Schizosaccharomyces pombe: one gene and its partners. The gene in region 2 interacts genetically with the main gene of each other region. Each region holds a gene or a part of one and is shown on either strand. Other genes may lie near its edges.

Region 1 (9,244 bases), on a different chromosome or scaffold from region 2:
AAAAGCACCTTGCTGGACTACTTAATAGAGACACAAGTGGTATTCGTATTTGGCTTATGACGAATCGCCAAAATCGAACTGTTAGAGTTGACCTTCCACTTGATAAAAAGACTATACTCGTTGATCAGATCTGTGATATGCATATACGTAAAGACATGGATATGAGAGTTTATGTGGAATTCTTAAGTGAACACAATCAGCTACTTGCGGATTTTGGTGCCACGGATGATAACGATTTCGACACCTACATTTTTCTGAAGATTTTCGATTATGAAACTCAGCAAATATCCGGTTTGGCCGACCTACATGTTTCAAAGAATAGCCCCATTTCTTCACTTTCAGAGTGGATTCGTGAACATTTAAAGTGGTCTTCTGATGTTCCTATCACATATTATGAAGAAATTAAAACCGGCATGGTTGATGTTTTGGATCCGAATGCTAGTTTTGAAAAATCCGAGATCCAAGTGGGAGACATTATATGTTTTGAGAAGAAATTGGTCCATGATTCTTCATCGGACACCTCTCACCCTTACAAATCAGCTCTTGACCTCTATGATTTCATGGCACATAGAGTAGTAATTACTTTTGAGCCTCGTTATTCCGATGATACCAACAATGGTGTTTTTGATTTGGTGCTTACAACGCATACCAATTATACTGATATGGCTCGAGCAGTGGCCAATAAACTTAATGTCGATCCTAATTATCTTCAGTTTACTATGGCACATCTACCTTCGCGCACTCCTCGTTCAGTAATTCGTAACCCTTCGAAATTTACCTTACAAAATGCGATACCATCAACCTACTCTCATAACCAAAATGTGGTTATGTTCTATGAAGTCTTGGACATTACGCTTAGTGAACTGGAGCGTAAGCAATTAATCCGGGTGCATTTCCTGTCGAATGGTATTTCGCATGAAACTCAGATGGAGTTTTATGTTGACAAGGAAGGAACTGTGGAAGACATTCTTCGACAGGTTACTCAAAAAGTACCTTTAAATGCTGAAGATGCTTCGAGACTTCGTCTTTATGAAGTTTACAATCACCGGATTTTGAAAAGTCATCTACCCACGGATGGAATATATGATCTAAATGAATTCTCCACTGCTTATGTTGAAGTCACGCCCAAAGAAGAACAAATGCAATTAAAGACTGATGATGCAGTGTCAATTGTAGTACAACACTTTTTCAAAGACTTATCACGGTTGCATGATATCCCATTTTATTTTGTCTTACTTCGTGGTGAGACTTTGAAAGACCTAAAAAAACGGCTGCAAAAACGATTGGGCTATAACGATACCCAGTTCTCGAAAGTCAAGCTTGCAGTTTTGCAGGCCCAGTCATTTGGAAAGCCTTATTATCTTACCGACGATGATGAAGTACTCTATGGAGAACTTGAACCACAGTCACATATCTTGGGACTCGATCATCCACCAGCTAATGGTAGTGCTCAATACCATGGTATGGACCAAGCAATAAGAATGAAATAATTGTTTATACATCACCTTTTTAAACCTCCAATTTGAATGTTAGCGGTGCCATTTACTAGAAGCCAAGCAATTTTGTTTCAATCAATAAATTGATATATTCTGGCAAATAGTAATGCATTCGCGTAATGACGTCTTTGTTTCAAAATTTGCGAAGCACGCTTCGCATTATATGATATCTTACTATTTACTTGTTGTTTTGCGTATGATTAAATAAAATCGATAATCGCCCGCTCTTTTATACTCAAATTTTTCCAAAATGTATTCTTTTATCTCTACAGTGATTCATATTGTAGCAGAATGTAATGTTTATTGTTAATAATTGTAATCGTAACATTTGATAAAATATTCACATGAAACCCATAGCCAAAACTCATTTAAATTGGTGTTTTATTAAGTTATCAACCCATGTTTGGTCCATCTTACATATAATAATAATCTTGATGATCTGTATTCCTTACACGCTTTCACTGGGCATTAGCTTTTATCACCACCTTCAATTTCTAATCCACCAAGCTTCTGCGCCGTTTTACAAGCAAAACCATAAAATGGGTGTAGATCTTTCTGATATTAATGATTCCCTTTTCAAATTATCTGATAAACTGTCAAATGATTTGGCGAAGCAGAGAAACCTATGTATCGTAAAAGAACCATCATTCTCAATAGAGGAGCATATCAAGTGTTTTACAACTTGCATAAATACCTACAAACCATTTAGTTGTCTAAAGCATGCTAATTGGGCTTTATTGCTGGCAAAAAAGAAATCCGATACCGGTTTAATTGGTTATTGTCAATCTCTAAGAGGGTAAATACGATTTCTAAATTCCTATAATTCTGTAATTTGCTGACTATGTTTTACAGGCTTGCGTATTACTTACTTGAGCAATATCAAAGTTCTGCCATATGTTTTGGATTTGCCCTAAAACATTTAAAAAAAGAAGATTTAACAAAATGGCAAGTTCAACTAGACAGCATGCTTACGATCGTTCACGAACAACAGAATCAGGACACCTCATCGCTCATTCCAGATGAATGTCCAAATATTCCGGAATTAGAAGCTGCCAAAATTGAAGGAGACGAAGAGTTCCTTAATATGAGCTTGAAGGCGCCGGAAGGCCAAATAGAAAAAAACGAAGAAAAACTTTCAAATAGAATTCGTTATGACTGGTCCCAAACGTCTTTTTCCCTAAATATCGACATATATGCGAAGAAAGTCAAAGATGAAGATGTGAGCTTATTAATGGAAAAGAACACTGTAAGGACTGTGCAAAGCTAAACCGTCCGGCTAACCATTTTAGTTGAAAATAGAAATTAAGCTTGAAGATGGATCAATATTCTCCTTGGTTTTAGATCCTCTGTATGAAGAAATTGTTCCTGAAAAATCGTCATTCAAATTATTTTCAAGTAAGGTTGAAATTACCTTAATTAAGAAAGTCAGCGAGATAAAATGGGAGGCCTTAGTTAAGAGTCCGGCGAACAATTCGGTGAACGTCTATGCTAAAGATTCAAACCATTCAAGTGCTTCTGGTAATACGAAAAATAAAGCGAAGGATTGGGATTCGCTAGCAAAGCTGGCAGATTTGGAAGAAGACGAACCTACTGGAGAAGCTGCTTTGGCTAACTTATTTCAAAATCTGTACAAGAACGCCGATGATGACACCCGAAGAGCTATGATGAAAAGCTATACAGAAAGTAACGGCACTGCTTTATCAACTAACTGGAAAGATGTGAAAAGCAAAACATTTGAAACAAAGCCTCCACAGGGAATGGAACCAAAAAAATTTTAACTCCGAATGAACTTTTTACATTTACAAGCTTGAAGAGAAGCTTAACAATTTATTTATAATTATATATCTAATTTGATGAACTATCAATTGAGATTTATGCGAAATAAACTCTTGTAAACATTTACGTTTAGAGTAGCAAATTAAAAGAGTATAAGAAACAGTATTATTAAGTTCTTTTGCAAAGGCCATATGCAAATAGAATTTGAAAAATTAAAAGATTAATTGATAAAACCTTTAGAATTAATTCCAAAAGTTGCCTTCCGGTGTGAGTTGTATAAATTGAGCAGAAATGTTAAAAAAACCTTCTATTCCATCTAATATGAAAACAACCAGTATTATGATTTAATGCAGTGAAAATGAAAAAAAATGAGATATCAAATATACGTGATTAGTTTAAAAGTCATTAGTATATCTTAGTAGTAGCTGGAAACTCCATTAAGCAGCAATTCCTTAAAAATGTTCTGATCTCTTCTTTGAATGTTTTTTATGCTCTTCCGAAATTTCATGCTCATAGGAAGACTTGCGAATTGTAACAAAGGGGTCATTCAAACTGTTTTTGTCAAATTTATCTTTTTCATCGAGCAACTCACTAGATGATTCAGTTGAACTTTGTTTTAACTTCGTCTCATCAGAATCATCGTTCGAATGTGACCCAGAATTCGAGTCATTATACAAATCCGAAGATATGGATAAGGGTCGCCTTCCTGGAATTGGTGCCAAGGGTCTTCCTTGAACGGATTGAACTGCACCATACGATATAGAACGCCTTTTCTCCAAAGCACTAGGAGAACGATAATTTCCAATAGTTGCAATTGAATTCCGTTTAAGTATGCGAATATTATCTGAGTTAGCGACATTACCAGGAGGTGTGACAAAGTCTGCAGCATTGGCTCCTAAATCGCTTGAGCGCCTGGTGTCATTATAAAAAGATTGCGACCGTTGAGGTATAGTCGAATTACGTGGTGAAGAAGCCCAAGGAGTTGAATGCATTTGATAACCACCACGATAGCCCATTTTTTCTTGCTCAGTATTTTTTCGTACAGCAGCAAGACGAGATTTTTCTTCTTCAAACTGCCTTTCAAACTCTTGCTGCTCAGCTAAGAACTTCTTCCTCTTAAAATGACGAAGGCAGTAGAATATTATCACTAAAACAATTAACCCACCTAACACACCAACAATGGGACCAGCAATTACGCCTGTATGGTTATGTTTTTGAGCACCATTTGGTAAAGAAGATGCACTTGCCGAGGGTGGAGTAGAAGCAGATGTTGGTTCGGGGTTTTGCGTTGAAATAACAGTTGAATAAAAACCACTGTAAGAAGGATCATCAGTTGCTTCGGGTCCAGCTGTGCTAGTAACAGTTACTACGTCGAGAACATGAGATGGTTTGATATATGAAAAGTCGGAAGAAAAAACTGGATAAGAGGAAGGAAGTTCGTCGCCAGGAACGGTTGAAGCCAAAGAATCATTGGAAATTGACATAATAGATGACAAACCAATCGTAAAAATGATAGAAATTAGAATGTAAATGAAACTTGAAATTAAAAATCCAATAAACTATAAAATTTTGAATTTCTCAAAGAAAAATTCGTTAATCCCAAAAATGTCAGAGTAAATTGTTGACGGAATTTCGCGACAACTGATAAATAAGAAATATTAAAATCTTCTTCCAGTAACCTCTAAGTACAAGAATGCAAAAAAAACCCAAAATGATTTAAAATACCTTGGTTAAAATGGTAATAAAAGAGTAGATGGCAACTATTGGAGAAGAATAAAGCTATAAAATGATAAAATATACAGTATGTTCAAAGCGTGCGAGTTAATTAGACATACAAAACTATATAGCCGTTGAAAAAACCTTGACTTGAATCATAAGCGTTAATGTAAATAGGAAATAGAAAATGTTTTAAACAAATCTTACAGTAATTAAAAACGAACGACTAGGGAGTAAGGATCAGAGGAGAAATATTAGAATTGTAAATTTAGGCCAATTGCTCATTGGTAAAGTCCACAAGAGAAAATTCAAAAGTGAGACGTCTTTCAACGGTACAAAAATCAAACAAAAGAAGCACCAAAAAGATCAAAATTGCGATCAAAATTAGTCTATATTGAAGAGTGTCGGTAGCGGTTGGAAGACGGATGAAACTCCGGGACAACACTTTCCGCTTCACTAAAGTTGGCTGGTAAGTATAGGAGACAGGCACTAAAGAGAAAGTCCCGTTCCTTTTATTCAGTACGTTATGGGTAATACTAATAATTGCGAGAGGTTGTACAATTCTCTTTTAGTTTTTAAGAAAACTGGTTCTTGGCCACAAATTCTACAGATTTCGTATTACACTTAAATGCGAATTGCACATGAATGCAAAATGTATTAATTGTATAATTCAAGCAATGATAATTTAGGCGCTTGTTATATGAATGTTATTATATTAACTAAATTTTAAAAAAAAAAAAGGAGTGGATGTCCAATCTTGTTTTGTAAAACAGATATTGCATTTAAGAAAGAATAAACCTTTTAATTTTCAGATAGATGATTTGAAAGCAGCCTATTCCATGGGGAGAAAGAAGCAAGCGATTAACATAGCGCATCATCATTTGTGCATTCACGATTTTTTGGGGAAATAGACGATTAAATTAATGGTATAAAAGTTGTAAACACACATGTTTGGAAAAAGCTTATAAGTCGTATTGGTCAAAAATATGACACACATTTTGTTTTAAAAACAACAAACATCTTTGAGCGTAGACATAGATAATGGTCAATCAACTTGAAGAAGTTTTTAATTAAAAGAACGAGAATAGAAGAGAGGGGATCAAAAATAGGTTAGAGGAGTAATATTACGAGAAACAGAAAACTAAAAGACGACTTATTGCAACATTTCGCAAGCCAACTGACGGAGAAAAGATTATTTCGTAACCGATAACTTTAAACTTTTGAAAAAAGAGAGAGGTTGAATCAAGAAACAAAGTCTATGCGGTCGCTTCAGAAGAACCAAACGGTCGCGTTTGGAATACAGACATGTTTATTTTTTCTAAAACACTTTCGAAGCCTTCTTTTCCACGGGAAGCTTTCTTTCCAAAACCATCAACCGACCATTGTTCGATCAGGTTTGACAACCGCTTCATACACGCTAAGGCTTCAATTCGAGCCTCCTGTTGAAAAACAGTAGCTTCCAGTTCAGGATGGGGTGAGTAAGTCACCGTCTCATCTACTCTCAAACGATCACTAAACGTCAAGTTTGAGGTTAAAAGTGTTAAAGTGCGCGCTTTCAAGTCAACATAGCTAGTTTCTCGAATATAACAATCTTGCGCACCGTCAATCAATTTTAAAATCCATCTAGGAAGGGCCTGGTGACACGTGATCAAGCGTTCCGTATACAATACACCATTATCCAAAACCTTGCGATCAAGAGTATCCACGGCTATCACATGAGTAGCATGCTCATTGGGATACTTCTGCCAGTGAGCCGCTGAAACTTGTTCAAAAGGATATTGAAATAAGTGGCAACTTTCAAAAATCTTCATTTAGGATACCTAAATTTTATGAAATTTTACGTGAACTAAGTAAAAAAAAAAGAATGAATGACCCTTTTAAATCAAAAAAGTTAGCTAACTTCTTTTAGCTATTAACTTTTGTCTCTCAAGAACTAAGAAAACCAAAAGTTTCTTTCTGGGCCGCTCGTAAGATTTTTCTTTAATTTTTTTCTGAGGTAAGATCTACTAACTGATGCACCTTTACTTTTCGAGTTTGTTTTAAATTGAAATCAGCCCGTAAGTAAAATATGCTTTTTTTGGGATCTTTAACTAATGTACAATTTCTTAGTGTATGGTTTTTTTTATGTACAGAGCAGTGGAGCGGAACTATTTTTATATGCGGTTTTCTGGTTGGCGGGACAAAGGAGCTCCAATAATTAACCATTTTTACTTAAACTATAGCCATAAGCGAATCAATGCATTTGGTGGAGGTGGGGTACGACAGAGGATATGCATCGCACTTTTTATAAGGTTGTAGTTTACGATGCACTATATATAATAACGCACCAAAGCGGAATAAGGCCTATATTATACTAATGGGTTTTTAAAAGTGTCATTTAATTATGTTTATGGATAAAAGATATATAGAAATTTATATAAAATATGTACTTTATGTATTAACAACACTATCTCTTATGAAGGAGTTGGATTTGGTTTCTAGCTGAAATAATTCTTATTTGTTTTAGTTTTTTTTTTTTTTAATACGGTGATAATGCACAAGACTCATTGTTTTATTATGCTTGAGAAAATTATAGCATTTGCTACATCAAACACTAACTAGCCCGTAGAAGCGTATACGTAAAAGATAACAGAACTCTAGAATTTCAATCAAACCCAACTGGGCCTTAGATCGTCAAAATGCCGGGAGGAGATCTATCGTTGAGCAGTGCTATGAGAAACTATCAAAAATTTCGCAATCAAAAAGAAAGGGGGGAAATAAAAGATCAAAACATGCTGTGTCACGAGAATTCAAAATAGTATGCCTTTTAGCTTTCATGTTTTCTCTTTTCGTTTGCTTCGGTATGTAACGCAAAGAAGAATAAAGGAGCATGCTCAGCATTTTATAACTCAAGTAGGAAGAAAATATCAATTTTTTATTTCTTTAATGTACACTTACACGACTACAAAAATTGAGTCATGTACGTTATTTATAATAAACCTTGGGCCTTTAAATCGTTGTAAACCTTTTCAGACATCACATTACCTTCGTCATCTTCCATTTCATTGAGAGACGCCATTGTGGTTTCCCGCTTCTTTGAGTCCACCTTGTACTTTTGCCAAACTAAAAATTTTCGTTAGTAACATAAACTCACCAAATACAATCATTTTTTTCTTACGTTGCAAAGCTTCATCAATAGAAGTAATCTGATTGAATAAAGGTGAAGGTGATATTCCTAAACATTTTAACCCGTATATGTGCCTTTGTTCAGTAAAGTGTTTATCAAATGCCTTTCTACCCATATACACGTAATTTCCACAAATTTCACAGGGAAACTCTTTACCAAGGCCATGGAGTTTCCAAAGCCAGAATGGAATAGGTTTACCATCCCATCCCAATGGCAGCTTCAAAGGGTTATATATCTTTTCCTCATCATCCTGATCACTTTCCTCATCCTGATTTCCCTCAACACTTACGCTTGGAGTCGATTGTTCAAAGGCTTCTCTTTCCGCAGCCTCTACTTCTGCCAAACGTTCTGCAGCCGTCAAAGTTTGTCGACGAACAACATTTTCACGAGTATCCTTTCGAACATCGTCAAGCAAAGACGTTAACTTTTTTATTAAAAACTCGATACGGGCAATCGCTTTAGGTCCTTTTTGCTTCTCGTTCGTATTACTTGTGGTAGATGGACTAGAAGACTGCATCCTCTTAACGGCCTTATTATGTGCTTTGCTCTTTTTGTGAGCTTCAAATACAGTGATCTTCCCAAAAAACTTTTGACAAACTTCACAATAAAATGCTTCCGTCGAGTCTTTCCCATCTTTTTCGGCTTCAGCGTTGTGTGAATACCAACCAGGAAGTCCAGCTTCCCATGCTGCGTCGAATTCAGTATCAAAAACCGCAATAATCTTATCCAAGTTTGACAGAGGGTGTGTCCGGCGATAAAAGGACACCAAGTATTCGTATAAATGAGTTATATAGTTGATATATGTTTGATTTTTTTCAGGCTTGGGGATTTGATCAAAATCCTCCAAATTTTTCAAATATTCTAAGTAAGAAATATGCTGTACATTGCTTAAGTTTATATATTCTTCGTAACATTCGTTAAGATCCATAAATCGACCATACATCTCTTCACCTCGAAATAACGTGTCAATCTCGTCAATCCCGGGTTGAGAAGGCTTTATGGAATATAATTGACTCAGATCCTCAACTTTATGATCAGGATATTTTTTGTGAAACTCTTGGATCTCTCCCAGCGATTTATAAAACTCTGT
Region 2 (11,661 bases):
GCATCGACTCTTCTCTCTAATATATATAAGTTAGCTGCCCAGATAAATACACGTAGGATTAATTTCATAATTAGAAGTCGCATACGTATAGTGAAGAAAGTTGAGAACGATCGGAATCGAAAGTTTGGTAGTAAAATTGAGTGAACTGGGTCGCCAAAGCATTATAGTCTGCAGAGTATTAGCAATAAATCATACAAATTTTTATCTTACCAGCCATAATGAAAGATGGTGGTAAAAGGTAGACCTATTATTTCAAGTTCGAAAAATCGCGTCAAAAAAGATCGTACAGACACCTTAAGTAATTTAACGTAAAATGATACAACTCTTAATATGTAAAATAACATGATAAACTTATAGTTGTGTTATTTGGCAAAAGTCCTCTATTCGAATAGTATTGGCAATGGTAGAAAAACGAATTTGCAATAAGATTTGAAGGGGTTTTACTTCATGCAAACAACAGGATAGATGTTTATCCGTTCCTATTGAGACAAAATTTATGAGAAAAAATATGGTGCTAGCGTCTAACTAGTATCATGAACGAAATGGAACATAATATTTACTTGATTGTGAAGATTGCTTATTAAATGCTACATTCTTTTTTATAACGATGTATTTCACATTTTGCATAATTAATGCACCTTCAATCATAATTAAAAGAAAGCAACAAGTATTTGAGTTGGGATAAAAATGTAAAACTTAATCTATTAAATGTTCACATAATAAAATATGAAGATGACTACAAAATAGAACGTAACAAATAATAAAGGATAGAAGGAAACAAAAGCAAAACACCCACAGTTTGCTTTAATTCCTGGGTAAACTAGAAAACACGGAGCGAAGCCTTTGAGAGACAAAATAACTATAACGAAAGGGGAACATAATACATAATAAGTTATCTTCTATTGTGGATAATAGGAGACAAATTTTTTGATTGGAGCAAGCTTATCAAGCTTCGAACGTCTCGCCGAACACAGTATCTGCGACGGGATCGTTAGCATCCACCGTACGTGGATTCCCATGTGAATTTATTGAATTAACCGATGAATGGGTTGTTGTGCGACACGCATGTAAATTATCTGTCTCTTCGTTTTCTTGTAGTCCCAGGTTCTGAAACTGTTCATCAATGGACTTATTGACACTATAAAGTTTAAGGTTAGTTGATGGTCAAATATTTAAAAATAAACTTACAAAGTGAAACCACGAAATCTGTCCTGAATCGTGTTGGATAGAGGTGTCGAGGCATTAGCGGGATCAACATTGGAAACTATATTGATATTTTTCACATTAGTATTGGTAAACTCTTTATCAAAATTGGAAACATCCAGATCATTTTGAACATTCGGTTTAAAAGGCGGCTGAACCTTCTTCTTGCTAAGTAGGTCCCAATTTATGTCTGCAAAAAAAGGATGCTCTTTTAATTCAGTAGTGTCAGCAACTGCTCCTAAACGATGATTTGGATTGCGATTTAAAAGGCCTCGAACAAAGCTTCGACCCTCTGATGAAAGAACTCCTTTTGGAAAACGGACCTTTCCAAAGGCAATATTACGATACATTTGTTGGACGTCTGGAGCATAAAAGGGGCTCCATCCGCAGCACATCTCAAAGACAAGGACTCCTAAAGACCAGAAATCGACCTGTTTAGTATACCCCTTGTCCTCAAGTAAAACTTCAGGTGCCAAATATTCGGTGGTTCCACAAAAGGTATTAGTAGTTGCGTTAGCTGAAAGGTTTGCCTTAGACAAACCAAAATCGCAAAGAGCAATATGACCATCTGCATCTAATAGTATGTTTTCAGGCTTTAAATCTCGGTAAATAATATCATGTTTATGCAAATGTTCAAGAGCCAAAACAAGTTCGGCTATATAAAATTTAGCTCTTTGCTCAGGAAAGCGACCTTCATGTTGAAGATGCCAGAAAAGTTCGCCTCCACTCATATAATCAGTTATCAAATAAAGATCTGAAGCGGTCTGAAAGGAAAACTTTAAACCAACAATAAACGGAGATTCGTCTAATGAAGTCCTGACAAGTATATTCCTTTCGCCCAAGGTATGTGTAACCTCTTTTTTACGAACAATTAATTTTTTGGATATCTTTTTCATAGCATAAATCCGATTGGTATCGTTTTTACGGACCAAATAAACTTGCCCAAAAGTGCCTAAATAAAGTTAGTATACCGTAAATTTTTTAGCTTAAAGCAGCTTTACCTTTTCCGATTAAACGAAGGGCCGTAAAATCTTCTGGCCCATAACGAACATGTTCAATGTGCTCGTAAATTGTTTCCACTTTTATTTCACCCTCCAGAGACTTAGTTAAGTCAAGAGGCTCAAGCTTATACCATGCTTCCTGCACATATTCATGTAGGAAAATTGGTGTAATTTTAACGGAGCCCAAAAATTTATCGTCTTCATATTTGTCATATACAGATACAACCATTTGACTTTTCATTTTTGTCACATCAAATACAGTTTCAAAATCCCAATGAGGACAACGCACATCAGCCAACATTAGCTCAGAATGTAGTCCAGAAGAAGAACCGGAAGCAGATCCAGCAAGAGGACGGTTTTTAGAAGGAATGGAAATGGGTATCCCACCGTCAATGTCTTTAAAAGGAGGAGGTACCATAACCTGCGTTTTTTCAAAGGTGATTACTGCATAAGGTTGTGCATTAACACTTTTGACGTTCAAATCTCTACCTTGATGTAATCGAACATAAAGCCGTCCAAAAGCATGCTGACCATTTTTATCTTTTGGCACAACGGTATCATGCCTAATGTAACACGAAGATGGAGGTGTACGACTCTGTAGTAGTTTGGGTTTTTCTGAATATGTACCCATTGGTGTAATTCCATTGCTTTCGGAACTATTAGAACCAGATTCTTTATCTTCCTTTAAGGACTATGATAGGTTAGCCAAGTGAACAACAATTTATGGAGACAGTGATTTTTGAAAAACACAATAAAGAAAGCTATGGGGAAGATTGTCTTTCAAGCAAAAAATCAATTATAACATACCTGTTCTTTGTGAAGCTGAGCTGTAATCTCATTGTAACGCATCTTCATCCGATCCGACATGAAAACGGGATCATAGCCATTAGACGAAGCACCCTCTTTCCCTTCGTAATCGTTTACTTTCGTAGAATGGTCATTGGAAAGAACCGGTTGCGTTGAATGCGATTGTATTGTGGATGGCGATGCTTGATTTGTATTCTCAGAATTTGATGATCGATGCAATTTACCGAAAATTTCGGTCATTTTCAGCAAAAGCAATGATCAATCAAGAATCTTTTAATACTCTTTTAATGGAATCGGATTCCTCGTCTGGTGTTACTAATAATAGGGTGTGGTGTTTAAAGTTGGTTCGACCAGCAGGTGTTTCGCATATGTAACCTTCGCAATTCCCTTAATCGAAAAGTGTGGTAACATCCGGGAGTACGATATCTTAGCGAACGGATAGAAAATCCAGTATTTTTCGAACACTAATTCGTATTTTACTATGATTATATAGATGTATAATTTTAAATGGTTATAATATCAGAGGGGCGCCGCACTTCCATTTATCTATTTCTTAAGGGATTCAGGTAAGGGGGATGTATAACCCTAAACATTTGAAAAATTCCTTTGCAGTGTATTTTATTATTATGCACTTATTCTAAAAGCAGAAAAAGAAATTTATCGAGCAATTAATACGCTGTTGACTCAGAAATGTCTTGTGATTTTCAAAGGTTTGTCCAACGAAGGAGTATCGAAACAGAGTTCTCCGAATGGCTTAGTAGAAACTTCATGTATATTTATTTTAGCCTACATATACAAAAGAAATTAAAGCACATTACAACGTAATTTCGGAGAGCTCAAGCTATGAGATTTTCGACTGTTTAGTTTCGAGGAATACCTAGATAGTACCGAAAAATGCTACACTCTTTTTTTATAAACATTTATCAAATAATTTTTAATGCGTTGGCTGATGCCTTAACCAAAGGTCATACTAAATTTACCAGAAAAGTTTCTTTTTCTTTAATAAATCAATTGTAGTGTTTGAATGAATGAGCTTTAGTAGGATGTCCACTGGTCAATTAAAATTGTAACTTACTGACATACATTAGCAAATTTGGGCACAATTTCTAATTGTTATTTGCTTCTCATGGTTTCTGATATGCGTTTGATGCAAAATACTCGGGATTTTTGTATTTCGGCTGATTTAATTTTAATTTTAATTTTTTTTTATTTAAGTCTCTCTATACTCATTACTGTGGTCAATTATATTCCTTGAGTTTATTAAATCTTTTATTTACAGAGTACAATTAATTAAAATGGAGCCAAAAAAATAACCCTTGTTAAAAATTTTTTTAAACTGTTAATTCCCTCCCCAAAAAAAAGATTTAAAAGGAAAATGATTAAAAAAAACGAGAAATAAAATTTCATGTAAAAAGATAACTTTGTATAGTAATTTATATAATAAGAGCTAGTTTGTCATAGTTCACTGCTATTGTTTATTATTATTTTTTTTCATAGCACAGTATTTCAAATTAAATATCGTAAAAGACCATCAGAAATTACAAACAAAATAAGAAAATCATCGGTTAAATTAATGACATTCAAAGTACCACTTTTCGTTCCTCTGACAAACGTTGCTACGCAACCTTGATTAGCCGTACTAGCAAACCCATCTTAGTACTTTGTGGGGGCTTTCATTTTAATAACCACTGCTAAGCTGCTAGTGTTAGGCATAAAACCGATAATAAGGACCATGTGGGGGTCTTCCGCATAGGTTAAACAAACAGCTGCTGAGGCGAGGTTCAGGTTATCGTGGTGCTTTTCTACGTTAATTTATCAATACAAAATAGTTTAATTTCCAAAACAAAAGTCAAGAGATATCAGCTACAATTACATTAATGATATGCATCATCCAAAGTCAGTGTACAAACAATAGATTTACGCCCGACAAATAAACCGGTATATTTTAGAAGTTCATCATTTTGTATACAATCAGTTACTTCCAAAAAATTATTGATTAAATAAGTGTTTATAAAAGATTTTTCATAATTTCGTAGTACGGTCATTATTCTCAATTTCACGTGTTTTTTTCTTTTTTTACTTCTAGGCCCATAACATTATTATTAACTATACTAGTATAAAAAATTTCTCGCTCAAATTATGTTCACAGCATGTAAATGAGATATGTTAAAATAGAAAATTCAGCTTTCAAAAAAATAATGTCTATTGCCATCTTTATTGTCATGTTGGCGGAAATGAACTTTGCATATTGGTGTTCTTGAGAGTGTACAATTTTTTTTAACTACCAACCACAAAGAATGGGAGGCATTGGTAAAAAACGGGTATGTTGAGAATGGATAGTTTAAAAGAAATACTTTATTTAAACTAATTTAATTATAGGTAAAAAAGAGGACGCATTTGAAAGCTGATCCTATACAAGAAGCAGCAATTCCTAAATCGGTATGTGCAATTTTGTAAAATTGTAAAATTTTTTAGTCCCTTTGCTAATTCTTATTTAAGATGGTAATTCGATCGGGCGCTTCTGAAGTAGGTAGAAGCTTATCTTTGCTTACTCGAGATCTTCGACATATGATGGAACCACATACAGCTATTCGATTAAAGGAGCGTAAAGCTAATAAAATAAAAGATTACTTGACTATGGCTGGACCTCTTGGAGTTACACATCTTCTTGTCCTCTCTCGCACTGACAACAATGCGAACTTGAGAATCATTAGGGCTCCTAGAGGTCCCTCATTACATTTTAGGATTCATGAGTATATGCTGAACAAAGATGTTCGAAGACTTCAAAAAAATCCTAAATCTCCAACAACAGAGTTCCTTACTCCTCCACTTTTGGTCATGAATCATTTTAATCAAAATTCGTCAAAAGACTCTCCCCATGAAGCTTTGCTAACGACTACATTTCAAAATATGTTTCCTCCAATTTCAGTCCAACATACCAACATTAATAGTGTTAAACGGGTTCTGTTATTAAACCGCCGCGACGATGGTTATATCGACCTTCGTCATTTCATAATTAGCACGAAGCCTGTGGGTATTTCTCGCCCTATAAGACATCTGTTGAAAGGTGAAAAAAAGGACTCTGATATCCCTGATTTACACAATGTTCGTGATATTTCGGATTATGTTTTACATGGTGATGGTATTTCTGGTGCAGCAAGTGACTCAGAAATCGAAGAGGATGCAACCGTAGAGATTGATCGTCCTGTACCGACTAAAACTGAAGAGAATCTACTATCGGCATCTCAACTATTAAAACCTAAGCAACAGGCAATTAAGTTAATTGAAATAGGCCCTAGGATGACATTGGAATTGATCAAGATTACTGAAGATGCGATGGGAGGAAAGGTACTTTATCACAGTCATGTCCATAAATCTAAAGAGGAAATAAAGCAACAAGATAATTTTCACGAACAGAGTCGCGCGTTAAAAGAAAAAAGAAAGAAAGAGCAAGACGAAAATGTCAGGAGGAAACGTGAAAATAAGAAAAGAAGAAAAGACCAGAAAAAAGAAGGTATTACTTCTTCGAACAAAAATGATGACAGCGGAAATGAAGGGTCATCTGCTTATTCTGATACAGAATAATATATTTGGATTTTGGGTTTTATCTTAGGTTAGAAGTATTTTTGATCAGATGGCTTATAATAGAAATACATTATATTTTACTGGTCAAATTAGACCACAGTCATGTGATAATAAAATTACGTACATTAATGGATGTACTAGTAGCAAAAAAAAAGAGCTCTAAGCAAAAGAAATATGCAGAACTGGATTATTTCATTGTCTAATTATTTTGTATACAACAAGAGATAATTAATAAATGAGTTTGTGTATTACACAGACATCAAATGAAATATTAAAAATAAATAAAATAAATAAAATAAACAACGTGGAAACCAAAAGCAACCACAACTGAAAAATCTTTTAATTTTGGCTTTTAAAACAATACAATATCAAAATCATTCTCTTCAGTCATCCAAGAATAGCCGATTTTATCCAAAAAGCATTTGATTTTTGTCGGTAACCCACTCATGTCAGGTGCATAACTGCAAATTACATTGAGAAACCTATCTAATTCAGGCTCTAAAAAACCTTTATCGTGTTTCCATATTTGAATAGTAACTTCCATTAAACCTGACCAGTATTCTTCTTCCTGTTCCACCTGAGAAGGCAAAACTAGTTTTTTCTTCCTAGACTTATGTACAATATTGGTAACGTTGTCGTACCAATCCGCTGAGCAATGTTGCTGAATAGTTTTAACAAATTTGCTACGACAATCAACAGTATTGTAAGGAGGGGGAAACTCAGACCCTTCAATATTCCAACATAATTCAAGAAGGAAGTCTCGAGCTATGCGAGCTAAAAAATTCTGTAAGTTACATATTAAACTAGATGGCAATCCACTGGTTTTGTTTGTCATGCTTATAGCCACAAATGAAGAAATAAGGTAATATATTCTCCCAGAAAGTAAAGGGCGTTTGTTTTCATATAATAAAGCATATTTCTCTAAATCAGCCACAAAAACAGAAATTTCTTCACACAGTAACTGTTGAATGTAAGGTTGCAAATATATACGTCTAAAGCTGTTGTAAGTTCGGCTTAGACCCTCCAGTAGTAACAATGAATAAAACATAGCTGCTAACGAGCCTTCACCAAGGTAACTCAATAAAAGTTCCTTTACACAAAATTTCCGAAGAGAAGAAATCTCGACATCCCATTTGCTGGAGCTATTTTGATTATGGAATCCCATAGCCAGCCTTAAAAGATTAGAAGTTTCAGTTTGCTTTTGTTCTAGCAGAGCAACATCAAAATTTGCTTTTAGGAAACTAAACAAAGCATTTTGAGAAGCTGAATTTGTGAGAGTTTTTCTCGCATAACTTCGTAACCTCAAGGCCGTATATTCGAGACGCTCCGGTGGTTGGGGGAACTTAGTTGAGTCCATAAAATATCTGAGGGCAGGAAGGTTACGATCATTTGCAAATTGACTACAATACTGTAAAATGTCTCCGACAACACGTTGTGAATTAATAACAAACAAAGAGTGAGTATCAGAAGAATGACCATTTGTCTCATAACTATGCTGCATAGAAGACAGTAGAGAGGATAGGTAATGAATAAACAAGCTCTGTAAATATTGAGAGCTCGCGAAACCATTTGTCTTGGCATCAGCATACAGTTTTGCCATGTTGCAAAACACAGCTGTTAATAAATTCAAGTGAACCGACTTAAAGTAATTTATACTAATTTCCTCAATTTTGACGGATATCGGTAAATTAAGCAAAATAGGATTTTTTAGGTTTTTCTGTAATAACAAAATCGTAAATTGTGCAGCATGATCCTCATCTAAAGCGCCCAGTGATTCAAACCATACAGTTAAGACTTTTTCCTCATGTTTTTTAATAAAAGAATCATTATAAGATATAAGGAAGGAATAAAACGTGGTACTGAGAGATCTTTTCAAAGGAGTGTTACGAATCCTTTCCCAAGACTCAGACCCAAAATCGATATAGTAACTCCAGTCATTGATTTTCGCTTCTACAGCAAAACTAGCACAAATTGCCATGCACTCCATTAATGGTAAAAGTAAAATACGAATATAATTTTCTTTGTCCTCGTCATTTCCAACGAGATAAGATATCGTTTGATACAAAAAGGGTGAAACAAATGTTCTCAATATTTGAGCCACTTCGTATTTACGTTCAAACTTTTCTTGTTCTAAAATGAGTGTGTTATCATCCAGCACATCAGAATCAAAGTAAGCATCTTGACTATCATGCGAAGTGCTACCAACAACGGTAACCTTAGGTGGCTCTGTATTAGATTGATACTGCAAAAACTTTTTTAGAAATAAAATACACTCCAGAGTAACGCGAGGAGGAAAAAAATGAGAGTCTTTAAGAATGCGCCGGCATGACTGCTCCGTCACCAAAACGTTTATCCTACTAATATAAACTGAAGAATTGGGAATTAAATCTTGAAGGGAATGGAAAGCTACAATTAGCGCATTTTCAAGTTGATGTTTCGAGTATTCAGCCAATTGCATCTCACCAACAGAAGTTCCATTTGAAAAGAGAGCAAGATATTCATCAAATGTAACTTTTAAAATGGAATTAAACCACTCCATTCCCTGAGCGAGTTCATAATCAGTTCCCTCTTTTATCACATACTTCATTAGGTGAAGCCATGCTTTTAGACTAATTAAACGTGCCTTAAGATGAGAATTATCGACGATTACAATATCCCTAATGCGATTTAAACTGGGCCTACAATTCTCGGGTGCTGCCCAATAAAGACAAATAAGAAGAGTGTGAGTATGTTCCAAAGACATAAAGTCCTTAATTGAGAATGGACTTTCTCGCGTGTATTGACGTGAATGTAAGGGCTGTAATCTGGATACTATCCTCTTGATTGAATTTGTATTTTCATCTACTTGCCTCAAACGGCTTATAGAAATTAAAATAACTTTTAAATAAATTACAAAACATGTATCAAGAGCAGTTACATGAAGATTTGGAGGTCTGTCAAGTGACTTAACAAAATCAGGAAAGTCAGTTGGTGTATCTTCAGATATTTCAGAAGAAAGGTCATTAAACTTTCTATGGCTAAAGAAATCGAATATCAAAAATAGGATTTGAGCCACATCCTCCCAACGCCATTCAGATATGAGAAAATGAATTCGAAGAAACACTGTGCGAAGGTATCGCTCAACCACTTTAACATTGTGTCCGTCCTTATGCATTTTAAATGCACTTTCTGAAACTCTGATTATCAGTGGCCAAAAACTATTGTTTCCTGGTGAATGAGTCGTTCCATTAAGCCCAATTTGGAAAACGGGATTGAGCGTCATTATAACATACCAAATTTTTTCCATTTCTAATATAGACAACTCCTTTTTTTGAAGATCAAAAAATGAATTCACCTGTTCCCACAAAGCATATTTCTTCTTATATACATGAAAAAGAATATGATTTAAAATTGACCAAGATTCCAAAAAAAGAGTGTCAATTACAGTCGTATCTGAAGCTTGAATTCTCAAATTCCGATAACATTCCAATAGACCAGATTGACCAGCAGAAAGAAGTTTTGAAATCAAATCACTTGCCAGCCAGGAAACTTTATTAATGTTTTGCTGATTTCCAAGTTCAAATTCACAATAAAATACAACTTGAAAAGTTTGAAACAACACAGCTATTTTTTCAACCAATTGTGATCTATTCAACCCCGATATAGAAGAAACACGATCATTGACTAATGCATAGGTTTCTAAAAAGGAGGAAGCCAAGTTAACCAAGCCCATTGATACTTGAGAATGAAGAATAAACGCAGAGCAAAAAGAAAGTAGATTGTACAAGTCAACAGTTTCAGAGTTTGTAAAGTATGGAAGATTTTCTAAGACTGTCTCAAAAGTGTCTTTTAATTTTTCGAATGTTTTAAAAACATCATCCTGGATATTGAATAAACAAGAAAAAGCATAAACAGACTTAAAAGGATGTGTGACGATGTCCAATTGAAGAATAGAATTTAACCCTTGGGTTTTTATAAAGGAGTTGTTGGGCAAACTAAGTCCCGGTCTAAAAGTTATGACATTAAATGTAGTAGACCAAATACCTATATTCCAAAAAGGATTTACATCTGTAAAATAATTAGGGTTTGAAGAGGATTGAAAAAAGACGGTGTCAAAATCGTCTCGTATAAATCGTTGAGCCTTCTGCTTTCTTGAAGACTTGCGGATCTCAGTATTTACTTGGGGTACAGCTAAAGTCCCCTCATAACAATCATGTTCTCTTTCCTTTGAGTTTAATTCAATATTGTCCCTAATGTAATGGTCTAATTTGGCAACTTTTTGGCATTTGTCATGTACTGTATGAGTCCTTTTTAACTTTTTGGATTTTTTGTATGAAACGTTATTAGAAAAAAGAGAAGAAAATAGCTTTCTTTTTTTTAAGAGTTCCTCGCTAAAATTTTGAAGATGACTCAAACCGTTATTTGCTGCTGTTTTAGCGTTAATATTTACACTATGCTTTTTAGAATTAACAGAAAAAATATTTCCACCAACTGACTTAGAATCTGAAGGCTTTTTGTAAGAATGAGATTGTTGAACAAGCTCATGTTTACCTGAATACCAATCAGAAAGAACTTGATCAATAACTTGGCGATCGGATTCTTTGTCGAAGGAAAAATACTTTTTGGAATCCATTTGTCTTTTTCTTCTAATCATTTTTGGAATATGAGATGAACTTCGAGCAAACACCCTCAAAAACTTTGGCGCCTTTTTCCCATACGATTCAAGGATAAGGTCTGGTAATTTTTCCACTTCGACATATTTAAATCTATTTTTTTTCATTTTGGTTTTAGTTGTGCGATAGACAGGAATAGTAGAAACAGCATTGGCTGCTACATTTAGCTGAAAGGGGTTTTCCGACGTCAAAGAACTTGATTTTTTAAGAGCGGATAAACTTCTTTTAGGAAGCCATAATTGATCAACCACATCTTCTTTCAACCAGCCATTATCACGAGAAATTGAATCTAAAAACTCGCTGGTGTCAAACCGTGAATCATCAGTTGGTGTTGGCGTAGAAATGCTATTGTCAGAATCCGATATTTCGTTTCCTAATTCACTAGATAGTTTAGCTGTCGATCTAGGATGCAA
Region 3 (11,155 bases), on a different chromosome or scaffold from region 2:
TGTGACGAAATGAGGTTGTTGTTTTGTTTGTGTTCTCCCTCTCATCTCTCTTTCGATGATGTAGTTAAAAAATTAGAAAAAGAATAAAAAAAACCTAAACGTTAATCGACGGTTTAAACGAGTGAGACTGGACTTCGCTTCTTTTCTTACGCATTACCAAACTTTGATAATGGTTGCTGTAATCAATGATAGTTGGGTCATCCCCTTTCCCACCAGAATAGAGTTGATTTACCGTTTTCTACGCAGCGCTTCAAATTTCGAATTAAAATTTTTGGTTTGCCACATTATGTTTGTTGCCTGTGGACGTGGATGGGTTACTAGGGAAAATAATAAAGCAAAAACACAAACATTCGTAAAATGCGGAGTCGGTAGATTCGAGGCTTTTGCCTTAAGTTACGTTATGACGTTTAGCAAATGGATAAGGAAATGGAAATGAAGATGAAGATGGAGATGAAGCAAGATGAAGGGAGAAAGGGAGAGGGAGAGGCAAGCATGACAAGTAAAATCTCTTTCTTTTTTTCTTTTTCTTTCTTTTTTCTTTTTTCTTTTTCTTATTTTAAATAATGTAGAGTTAAGCTCTATCTTGTTTTTACTGTAAATGAGTTTGTTGTATGGTAATGAGGGATCGCTATAATGTAATAAAGTTTTGGTTTTGTGTTTCACTAATTTTTAAAGCCGTTGGTTTACTGTTTCACTCTAAATGTGTTTGACTATAACCATTGTAACATAAATAAAAATAAATCACTGGCTAACAAAGTAAAATCCAAAAAAAAAATAAATAAATAAAAATTAAATAAAATAAAATTGAATAAAATCAAAATAAAATTGAATTAAAATCTAAAAAAATAAAATAAAAATCTAAATGTAAATGTAAATTCAAATAAAAATCCTTCTCAAACTTGCTTCCTCTCTCTCTTCTGATGTTTTAGCAATGCACAATAATAGACACTGCATTTACAAACTCATTTCGATCCTCCATCCTCAATCATTACTAACTATTTATTTAATCAAATTAAATTATCTATTTTTATTTTTGGGGTTTCATTTGATATTTTAATTCATTCAATATTTGCTAATGTATTTATTTTTCGTTGCGTTGTAATCCTTATTCACTATTCAGTTTGTTATTATTCAGTCATTTATTTTCTTTTTGATTTTCCTTTTAATGATTGATTCATAAATTATTATTATTATTATTTTTAAATTTTTTTTTTTTTTGCCGCTATAATCATTAATATATTATTCTACTTTTATTGTTTCTTCTTCCTTGTTTACCTCTCCATCTATTCCTTTTACTCGCGACAATGGTTTGTTTTCCTTCCATTCAATCTCCATCCCTTTTCGCTTTATTCAATGTTGTTTCTCGTTTGCACTTTGCTAGTCCGTCGCTTCTTTTTTTATTGCTGCGACGTTATTTTATCTACGACCAATATTTATTACTCTTGATAAACCACTCTTTTCCTACTCTTATACGCCATCAATGTTTTCCTTATATCATGATCACATTATCCATACTATTTACCACTGTATTTACCACCGTATGTATACCGCTGATTCCTTTAAACAATATTACTATTAAAACAATACTATTATCACTATTTACATTATTATTCCATCCTACAATTGATATCACTCTACTCTTTTTTGATATTACCCAAACTTTCATATTATCATTAGTTTTCTCTTTCCAAGACCGATACCTTCTTATTACAGTAATATTCCTCCTCATATCATCTTATTCTCCTTTCCTTCAACCCAATCTTCCTTCACTGTAGCTTTAGCTTTCCTCGCTAGCCTTCCTTAATCTCTCCCCCTAAAAATGTTGGTCCTCCACCATCCATCACTTTTCCAAGCTGCCTTTTCCCTTTTCCAAGACTGTACGCGCTTTTTAAAGCAAATTTGAATCTTATTTATGCGCGTACTGTAGCTGAAAATCCTCTTTCACTTCCTACACTTCTCATTTTCTTTCATCACCCCATTGTTTACTTACGCGTCTACATTCATCCTTCCTTCATTTCTTTCCTCGACATGGCAGGTTCATTGTCTTCCGCCATCTTCAATGTTCTCAAATACAGTGGTATGGCTTCCTTAGCCGTTACCCTCATTGCTTTGGGCTTCTTGTACAAGTACCAAAAGACCCTCGTTTATCCCAGTGCCTTTCCTCAGGGTTCTCGTGAGAACGTTCCAACACCCAAGGAATTCAACATGGAGTATGAGCGTATCGAGTTGAGGACCCGTGACAAAGTCACTTTGGATTCTTATTTAATGCTACAATCCGAGTCTCCTGAATCTCGTCCCACCTTACTCTACTTTCATGCTAATGCCGGTAACATGGGTCATCGTCTTCCCATCGCTCGTGTATTCTATTCTGCTCTCAATATGAACGTCTTCATCATTTCCTACCGTGGTTACGGAAAGAGCACCGGCTCTCCTAGCGAAGCTGGTTTAAAAATTGACTCCCAAACCGCTTTGGAGTACCTTATGGAACATCCCATTTGTTCCAAAACAAAAATCGTCGTCTATGGTCAATCTATTGGTGGTGCCGTTGCTATCGCTCTCACCGCCAAAAATCAAGATCGCATTTCTGCTTTGATTCTTGAGAATACCTTTACTTCCATCAAGGACATGATTCCCACCGTCTTTCCCTACGGTGGCTCCATCATTAGTCGCTTTTGCACAGAAATATGGTCAAGTCAGGACGAGATTAGAAAAATTAAGAAATTGCCAGTGCTCTTTCTTTCTGGTGAAAAGGATGAAATCGTCCCTCCTCCTCAAATGGTCCTTTTGTTTGGTTTGTGCGGTAGTGCTAAGAAAAAGTTTCACAGCTTTCCAAAATGTACTCATAATGACACATGCCTCGGAGATGGTTATTTTCAAGTGATTGCTGACTTTCTCGCTGAAAATGATATCAACACACCTGCTTCTTAAGCTTTCTTTTTTTTTTTTTTGAAAACAAACTATTCTCCATTTCACCTTACATTTTTGGTTGCCAGCTTAAAGGTTCTTTTTTATTATTTTTTTCAATCGAAATTTTTTCCCTTTTCATTGGGGTTATCGAGGGCTTTTTTTCACTTGCATCCATTTTCTTTCTCGTTCTTCTTAGAATTGTCGTTTTTTTATAGTAGCCTTAGTTAGTATGTAAGTATTTGGGGTTTATAGGAATAGAATAGTACTGATAAGCAATTTTCCATTGCTTATATTTTTTTTCTTGATATTCGCTTTGTATTGTATCAACCGTTTCGTATATATATACCTACATAGAAATTAATAACTTTTGTCCTTTTTCTTAGATTCCTACTACTTTGTAAACAAACCATAATTCTTTCCATTTTTATTATTCATAAATAAAAAAAAAAACCCCCGTCAAAATGCTCACATAAATAATTTTGCTGTAACCATTGAAAACGGAACACTACTTTCCAATCAATCCTTTTTCATAAAAAGTTTATAAACATTTTCATTCACTATTCCACAGAGATGAAACGATATTAAAACCAAATACCCTAATAACAAAAATATATATCAATAATCAGACGTCAAATCCATTCATGGAAATAAACCCATTTAAAAAATATGGATCACTTTTACCACGATACTTTTTAGGAGTCCGTCTATTCTAAAAGTAATTCACCAGAAAAGATAGTACGGGTAAAACATATCGTCAAGTATCAATTAACAAGATGATCTCTTTTTTTCATGTTAAATTTTGATTTTTCTCAATCCACCACATCCACCAAACGCTCTACTCTAATTTTATGATTCGCAACACTCAAAATGGGGATACCTGGAATCTTGCGAATCCTTTGCTTCAGATTTTTATCATTGGTAGCAACTAAATAGCATTTGTGCTGCATCACACGTTGAACGATACAGTCATCGGCATACGTGCCTTTGTGAGTGCAAGGAAGACGTTCAAATCGTTCATCTTTGGCAATTCGAAGTGCAATACGATAGCGAATTCCCAATTTTTCCAATTCAGCCATTACACAGTCAGAAATACAAGGAATGGTCTTAGCGTACAGACAGGTCATGAGTCCTTCAAAAAGATCAATCTTTTGCTGAAGACAAAAGTTGATAAAGTTTGTATCAATGATAACATGGTAGGGAGGTCCTAGACTCTCATTGAACTGAAAGAAAAGGTTGGAAGCCATTTGTGGACTTGAGGGGTTAGCATCAAAAATCAATAAAGTGCTTATAAAAAAATTTACTTACATTTCTCGAACTAATTCTCCATTCTTTGTAGTTTTCTCTTTCTCTTTTTTCTGATCTTTCTTTTGCAATCGTTGATCCTTAAGGTTTATGACTCGCTTTACCTGAGCAAATTTGCGTGTAGTTTTTGCTTTACCCATTGAAAATAATTAACGGAAGAGAAAGAAGAAGTGATTTAATTTACAAGTTTCGCATTCAACGTCCAAAGCTCTAAATACCCTTTCAATTGGAAGTGCCCAAAAAAATTATTAGTTGTTCAAAGAGGGAAGCAGGCTGCTGGATGAGACTGAAGGACAATGAAGTTCAATGCATTCTTAAAACTTCCATAATGTAAAATAGTGTATCACAATGGAAGCATAACGTATTTTTAATCCAACTGATCGTTAAAAAAATAAATAGGTATATTTATATAACGATACGAAAAAATACATAATACAACTTTACGCGACATACTTTCTTGTATATTACATTGCCCAAATTATTTCTTTCAATTAACTTATTGTGGTTCAAGGGTAGAAGAGACGGTGAACCGCCCAGACATATGTAGTACGTATTTTAATATGAATTACTTTATTCACTAAAACTTCATGATACATTCTGCTAAATAGTGCTTTCCCTGCGTACCCTACAAACGGTATAGCTTATAACGAATACCAGCGTGCTATTTTAAATGATATAAGTTTTGTAAAAATGGATGAACCTTTGCATTCAACTTTTTCACACATCAGCAATGGCAAAATCAGCACGTTCAAAAAGCATTCGTCGCAATAAAAAAGTGGTATGTTGTATAGTATAGACAAATGAAGGGATTGAATGTCTTTTTTTTTGGTTTCGGAAACGGTTTATGTACAATGGAACCGTCTTTAAAACAATTGCCCTTCTCATACCTCTTTATCGATTATCTAACAAAGTAATAGCTTAGAGAAAACGTTTTTCAACCCGTAATTGATGAGCGGACTAAGCGTTTGTCTGCGCACTTACGTGACCAGGTCAATGACCTTACAAAGTCATCCTCTAGCAAAGAAGAGGGAATCGCCGATAATTCCTTGAAAGAAGTCAGCAGTTCAGAAGTATCCGATAACGTTGGTATGGAAGTTGATCAGCCTAAAGTCTCTACTTCTGGTCCTCGTGACAACAATCGCAACAAATGGGCAAAGAAACATTTAAAGAAAGGAAAGCGTGCCAAGAACAGTAACTTTTCGAAATTTTTGAAGAAAAAGTAAATTTAAGTTCACCATTTAATATATAAACTCCGAGATCTTTTTAAGAACTAATTATCAATCTTTTTTCTCAGATTTTTTTCCTTGGGATAATTTTATTTTCAAATTTCTGGTTTTCAACTGGAGACGTTGACCGTGTTGCATAAGGATTTTGTTTGCTTTTGGGGGGTTTGGATTATTTTATATTATTCTTTATAAAAACATATTTTTTTCCAATAATGAATATTTTGTTTCAAAGACTTACTTTTTTTCACGATGAAGTTTCTATATTGTTGGAATAAGTCAATTTTTTAATTTTATTTTTTATATTTATTGTAATTAAGTACGATGTAACTAATAACGTCTCTCTGTCTCAAAAACTGCACTTTTAAATCGTGCTTTTTGCTTTGTTTACCACATGAAATAGAATTAGTAATGCTCTTGGTTGTAAAACCTGATTTTTACAGAAATGTAATAAAGTATGAATATCTAAATATTAAATTAATTTTATTTGCGTATTTTTTATCGCTTAAAATATAATTTTAGTTATTGTTTGTTTACAAAAGTGCACATGGTTATGATATGCCTTCACACATACATTCCAATATTGTTCTACCACATAAACAAATAGATTGACATTCCATCTGATTTGAACCATCTGCATTCAAAATCGCAATGGAAGAAAAGGAGAACGTAAACTTGGTGGAAAAAAGCAATTATGTTGCACTAGAGGTATGCTCTACTTTGATTACCAGAAGATGTTTGTAACGTTTCTAACCCTCAATAAACAGAACACACGAGAAATAGATGTTTTTGATGAATTCCTTAATGCAATTGGAAATGAAAACACCATTACACCGGTTTACGCCGATAGCTCATTAACTCATTTGCGCAAAAAATCGTATGTAACATAATAAATTTAACAAATTACCTATGTCACAAAGGTTCAGAGAATCCTTTGGATTATTAACGGGGTTTCTCGAAAGAAAAAAAAACATCGTCTGAACCTTTGCAGCAGTTTTGCTTTTATGCTAACTAACTTATTTTGCATGCAGCTATACTAAAGTAGTTCATGACTGTACATATGCTCTAGTCATCAATCCGTATGATAAAAAAGTGATATGGAGGAGAGGACTAGCTTATTTGCGACTTGGACATCCTCACTTAGCCAATCGTGATTGGGAGCATTCACTTGAACTGGACCCAAACAATACATACATCCAAAAATCTCTTCATAGATTAAAGGAAGTGTATTACATTTACAGAGAATGTGCAGAAACATGGCAGTTAAGACACCTTAGAGTTGCTTCTTCTCAGCAATTACCTGTAGGATTGCGAAAACAATACCCTAATATAATTCGTGGCAAGATCTGGTGGAAGAAAGTGCACGACAATTGCCAATTGTGTGGACAGCAATGCGAACTGAAAAAGGAGAATCTTTCAGCAATGCGGTCTATGCTTTACATGGCAAATACTTATGCAAAGGATGATACCGAAAATCACTCGCCCAGCGCCCAAATCGGAATAGAAAGCTCGGAGGACGAATTAGAAAATAAAATAACTAAGGGAGAACACTCTCTATTGGTCCCAGAGGAACTGTACAGATCCAATTACCCATGCCCTCAAAACATAGATCAGTTTCTTTATATGATAAAAGTCCTATCTGCCCCCTGTTTGTACATTGAAACGTTTTCATTTCCTATTTCCACAATTAATCAATTGTTCAAAGCTCATGGAATGTCGGTTGAGCAGTTAAATTTATTCTTAAAATCAATACACTATATCGGATTGTGTTCAAGGTTTTGCAAGCAATGGTCCGACAAGGCACGATCGCTGATGCAAGCGTTGAGTGGGCTGCCGTGGTTCAGTTTTGTCGTGCAACATTGTTTACATATAACGGCAGCTCAAATTCTTTTGCATATTCCTGACATCCAAGAAGAAGAATTCAGAAACTGGCATGTTTCCAAAAAACCCATCAACAATACTGATCTCTCTTCTGAATTTGAAATTGCAGAGATCCCAATCAATTGCTACACATGATAACATTGATGACAATAAATTTTTGTATGTTAAGTCAGTCCAGAAACCATCGATGCAATCATTTGGAGTAGAAGGCATTAATAACCGTGTGTAGTTTATGAATAACACATTCATTGTATATCAACCTCTTATTTTCAGTGCTGAAATAATCATTATCAACCACATGAAGCTATATATTTGTGGGCAAAGTAGAAATGTTTGCCATTTTGTTTACCGCCGGATACACCAAGCAATGAAGACAGTCATCGACCCAATACACAAGTATTGTCCGTCAAATGTTAAGTGTAATTGTTAAAGAAATTGAACAAAATGAAAGAGACAAAAAAACTTTCAAGACAGTTTTGTGTTGCACACCAATACTGCCGTTTCTCATACTCTGAGTATATGCCATGAATCGCATATTCACGATTTAATCAAAATAAAAAAGATATCCAAAATATCTACATCTCTGTTACTAAATTGCTTGTTTATTTATAACAAAGCCATTTCACAGATACACAGCCAACGTGGTAAAGCAACCCTTTTCTCATAATCGCTACAACAGCAAAAAAATATATGTCTAATGCAGGTTTTTCAATTTTCTATTATCTCTATTAACTAAACGTTCATTTCATACAATTTTATCGGTATGGCAAGGTTATGGTAGTCTACAAGTTGAAAACCGCAGAATGAATCGGCTATTATATGCTTACGATGAGGATGACGTATTCCATATGTTTGTGTTACGCTGCACACACTATGACGGTTTCCCAATACTCTTCTTTTGACCTTAGCTCTTTACATAAATTCCAGTAAAAAAGCGAAGAAAGCCGTTTTTTTGTGTTTGTTGAAAAACGATACGTTGGTCCTTTTGGTGTTTATGTTTTTGTGCTTGTATTAGAATAATAGATTGTATAGAGGCTTGTCATCGTAAAATTGTTTCAAAGGCGAACGCCAATTTTAACATTAGAGCTTGCAATTCTTTAAACGAAGCACCATTACTATTCTCTTCCTTTTTTTTGTATTGTTTTTCTTTTATTTTTTACTCTTTAGGGTGGATTTAAAGTTGGGCACCCCTGTAGGAGTATTCTAAATTTGTTGTTGTGAGAGTAGTTTATCAGGTGGATTTATATTCTTTTCGCTTTTCTTCCTAAGATCTTTAGTATCCTTATTTCCTCCCCTTTCTTTGTGAGTATATCGTATAGGAACAGTTACGTTACTGTTGTATGAATATTAGACGGAATACTGGTTCAATTTCTAAAGATGGATTCTGGGTCAAGAGTAAACGTCAACATTCAAGGGACTCGAGTTCTCAAAAACAAGCTGGGAAAAATTCCTGACATCGACATATCTACAGATGGAAAGTACTTATTATCTGCATCAACGAATGATGTTCTGTTAGTTTGGGATTTGCACACTTCCAACAAAGTTGCGTTCTTTGAAGCACCAAGCGTATGGATTATGACTTGTGCATTCTCACCCTCCACTAAGAGCATAGCAGCTGGAGGGCTGAACAACTTTTGCGTAGTATACGATACCAGTGTTCCAGATGCGGATCCGGTCGAATTGGTTGGGCATGCAGGATTTGTTTCGTGCTGTAAGTATGTCGATGACGGTCATTTGCTTACGGGTTCTGGCGATAAAACTTGCATGTTTTGGGACATAGAGCAGGCAAAAGCCATTAGCGTTTTGAAAGGTCATGAAATGGATATTGTCTCTCTAGATTTCCTACCCTCAAATCCCAATTTATTTGTTACCGGAGGCTGTGACAAATTAGCCAAGCTCTGGGACCTTCGGGCTGCTTATTGTTGTGCCACATTTCCCGGAAATACATCGGATATTAATTCCATTTCCTTTTTTCCTTCTAACGCTGATTTTGTTACGGGTGCAGAGGATGGTATCGCTCGGTGCTTTGACATTCGTGCTTCTGCTGAGATATTCCAGTATTCATCTCCATCATCCTCCCCCATTAATTCAGTCTTATTTTCCAAGTCTGGAAAACTTCTTTTTATCGCAAAAGATAAAACATGCGAGGTTTGGGATTCCATCTCAAGCAAAACCATCACATCATTAACAGGCCATGAAAATCGAATTAGCTCTTTAGCTTTAACTTCTGATGGAACAATGTTGGCAACTGGCTCTTGGGACGAATGTGTTCGTCTCTGGTCTTCGTCAGGGTAAATTAATGATTTTTTTTCTCCTTTTTTTTTTGTCTTTGGAAATGATGATGTTTGTTTTGTTTTTTTTTCTTATACATTTACGTTTTCGATTCTAGGAGGTTGACTGCTTCATGTCCCACTGGTTTATTATTTTTCTTAATTTTTTATACGTTTATGCGTGGTTTCGTGATGCTTTACTGATAATGTATTCATAAACCCTTGTGTACTAATTCCCTATTTTTTTCGTTACGTTTCTCTTTTATTTCTAAACAAAAATATACCTTTTCGAAAATTTCGCCTTGCAAAGGTTGGCGCTTTTTTATTACTATTTAATTATTGCGATTTTGTAAACGTTTAATCCTAACGATTACCCTTTAGTCTTTTTTTCTTAAAGGTATTTTTCTTCTTACGTATGATAATAAACTTTTTTATAAATGTTGTCTTGCTGTTTTTTAAAACTTATTTTTATGAAAGAACAACCCAAATATTAAATTCTTTTATTAAATAAAATTCTATGTATGTATACTACGAATTGAAAGAAACTGTAAATAGCTATAATACAAAGAGCGTAAAGTACCCGTATTCGCTCTTATTCATCTAAAAATCCCCCCATCACCGATGCCCACTCGTTAATACAAGAACCTGGCTTAGTTTCATAATCGGGTATGTTGAAGGGGCAATCACAATTACAACCATATTCTTGACCACAGTGTTGAATTGTGGAATGTTGATACCCAAGGTCTCTAAAGTAATGGACTTGAGATCGATTAAGGAGAAGACCCACTGCTAGCGAATGCACCGGAGCATCGCCCCACTAAAATAAGTTAGTAATCAGAGATAGGAAAAAAGTATGAAGAAGATTGCACTTCGAAGAACACAATGCTTTTTTTTTTTTGAATAAACTGTAAAAACATACCCTTTCAGTCCAAAATCCTCCAGCATTTTCCAATGCGTCGACATATTCATTATACTCTTTACTATTGTAAAAGTCTAAGCGTGCAATTTCGAAGTTACTCCAAAAATGGCATAGATTATAAATCTGGCCATCAATTCGGTTTAAAGGGGGCTCCGGTAAAACGTAATATCCTTGATCTTTTTGTTCTTCTTTCAGCTTTTTAATTCTCGTTTCATAGCGTTTATCAAGGAAGAAGCTCCAAAGATCGGTAGTTGGTAAATTGGATATTTTTTGATGAGCAACAGTGTACCGAAACAGATTTGGAACAGTTTTTGCAAGTTCTTTGATAGCAATAACGTATCCGTAGACTTTATTGTGCTTGTCCATGTAGTAAAATGGGTCATAAGAGATGTCACAAGAAAAAGTGACTTCCGGTTCAAGTCTCCAATACCACTCGTACTGTTGCATTAAGGGATGTTTGTAAAAGTTTCGCGAAAAGAATCTGCACATTTTATGATAACTAGGAAAGTTCGCATATACGACTCCAACTTGTTCAGCAATACTCTCATCTATCATATCCTTGTCGACATCTTTAGGGAAGTTCCATAGTTCATCATCGAGAACACCGAATTGAATAGAAGAATCCGTAGCATCCTTAACCGCTTTTTTAAATT

Evidence for each region.
Region 1: of sck1 (region 2) and git7, extra expression of one rescues a mutant of the other (dosage rescue), as found in Schizosaccharomyces pombe (one study listed by BioGRID).
Region 3: of sck1 (region 2) and git5, extra expression of one rescues a mutant of the other (dosage rescue), as found in Schizosaccharomyces pombe (one study listed by BioGRID).

The regions. Positions count from the first base shown.
Region 1 is NC_003423.3:858,786-868,029, reverse strand, and holds git7 (SGT1-like protein Git7), read left to right. Parts: upstream 1-2,000; 5' UTR 2,001-2,035; coding exon 2,036-2,292; exon of another isoform or gene 2,293-2,348; coding exon 2,349-2,742; exon of another isoform or gene 2,743-2,785; coding exon 2,786-3,274; 3' UTR 3,275-3,375; downstream 3,376-9,244. Other genes in the region: ubiquitin hydrolase Ubp15, read left to right, coding at 1-1,490; SPOM_SPBC36.11 (uncharacterized protein), read right to left, coding at 3,725-4,756; phosphatidic acid transfer protein Ups2, read right to left, coding at 6,245-6,799; U2 snRNP-associated protein sap61, read right to left, coding at 7,957-8,090, 8,146-9,244. UniProt on the Schizosaccharomyces pombe protein: Involved in cyclic AMP (cAMP) pathway, possibly by participating in the assembly or the conformational activation of specific multiprotein complexes.
Region 2 is NC_003424.3:2,401,356-2,413,016, forward strand, and holds sck1 (serine/threonine protein kinase S6K family Sck1), read right to left. Parts: upstream 3,349-11,661; 5' UTR 3,252-3,348; coding exon 3,012-3,251; exon of another isoform or gene 2,896-3,011; coding exon 2,205-2,895; intron 2,156-2,204; coding exon 1,189-2,155; exon of another isoform or gene 1,139-1,188; coding exon 946-1,138; 3' UTR 661-945; downstream 1-660. Other genes in the region: nuclear import protein Nxt2, read right to left, coding at 1-16, 86-168, 211-217; SPOM_SPAC1B9.03C (ribosome biogenesis protein), read left to right, coding at 5,309-5,332, 5,391-5,450, 5,511-6,596; mus7 (DNA repair protein Mus7/Mms22), read right to left, coding at 6,949-11,661. UniProt on the Schizosaccharomyces pombe protein: Protein kinase that is part of growth control pathway which is at least partially redundant with the cAMP pathway. Required for trehalase activation.
Region 3 is NC_003423.3:1,455,636-1,466,790, forward strand, and holds git5 (heterotrimeric G protein beta (WD repeat) subunit Git5), read left to right. Parts: upstream 1-8,213; 5' UTR 8,214-8,690; coding exon 8,691-9,608; 3' UTR 9,609-10,110; downstream 10,111-11,155. Other genes in the region: bem46 (palmitoyl-(protein) hydrolase), read left to right, coding at 2,029-2,928; rRNA endonuclease Utp24, read right to left, coding at 3,717-4,158, 4,213-4,349; ribosome biogenesis protein Llp1, read left to right, coding at 4,940-4,987, 5,127-5,432; mug93 (TPR repeat-containing protein), read left to right, coding at 6,084-6,140, 6,200-6,309, 6,464-7,448; putative alpha-1,2-mannosyltransferase Omh5, read right to left, coding at 10,176-10,400, 10,503-11,155. UniProt on the Schizosaccharomyces pombe protein: Beta subunit of the heterotrimeric guanine nucleotide-binding protein (G protein) involved in glucose-induced cAMP signaling.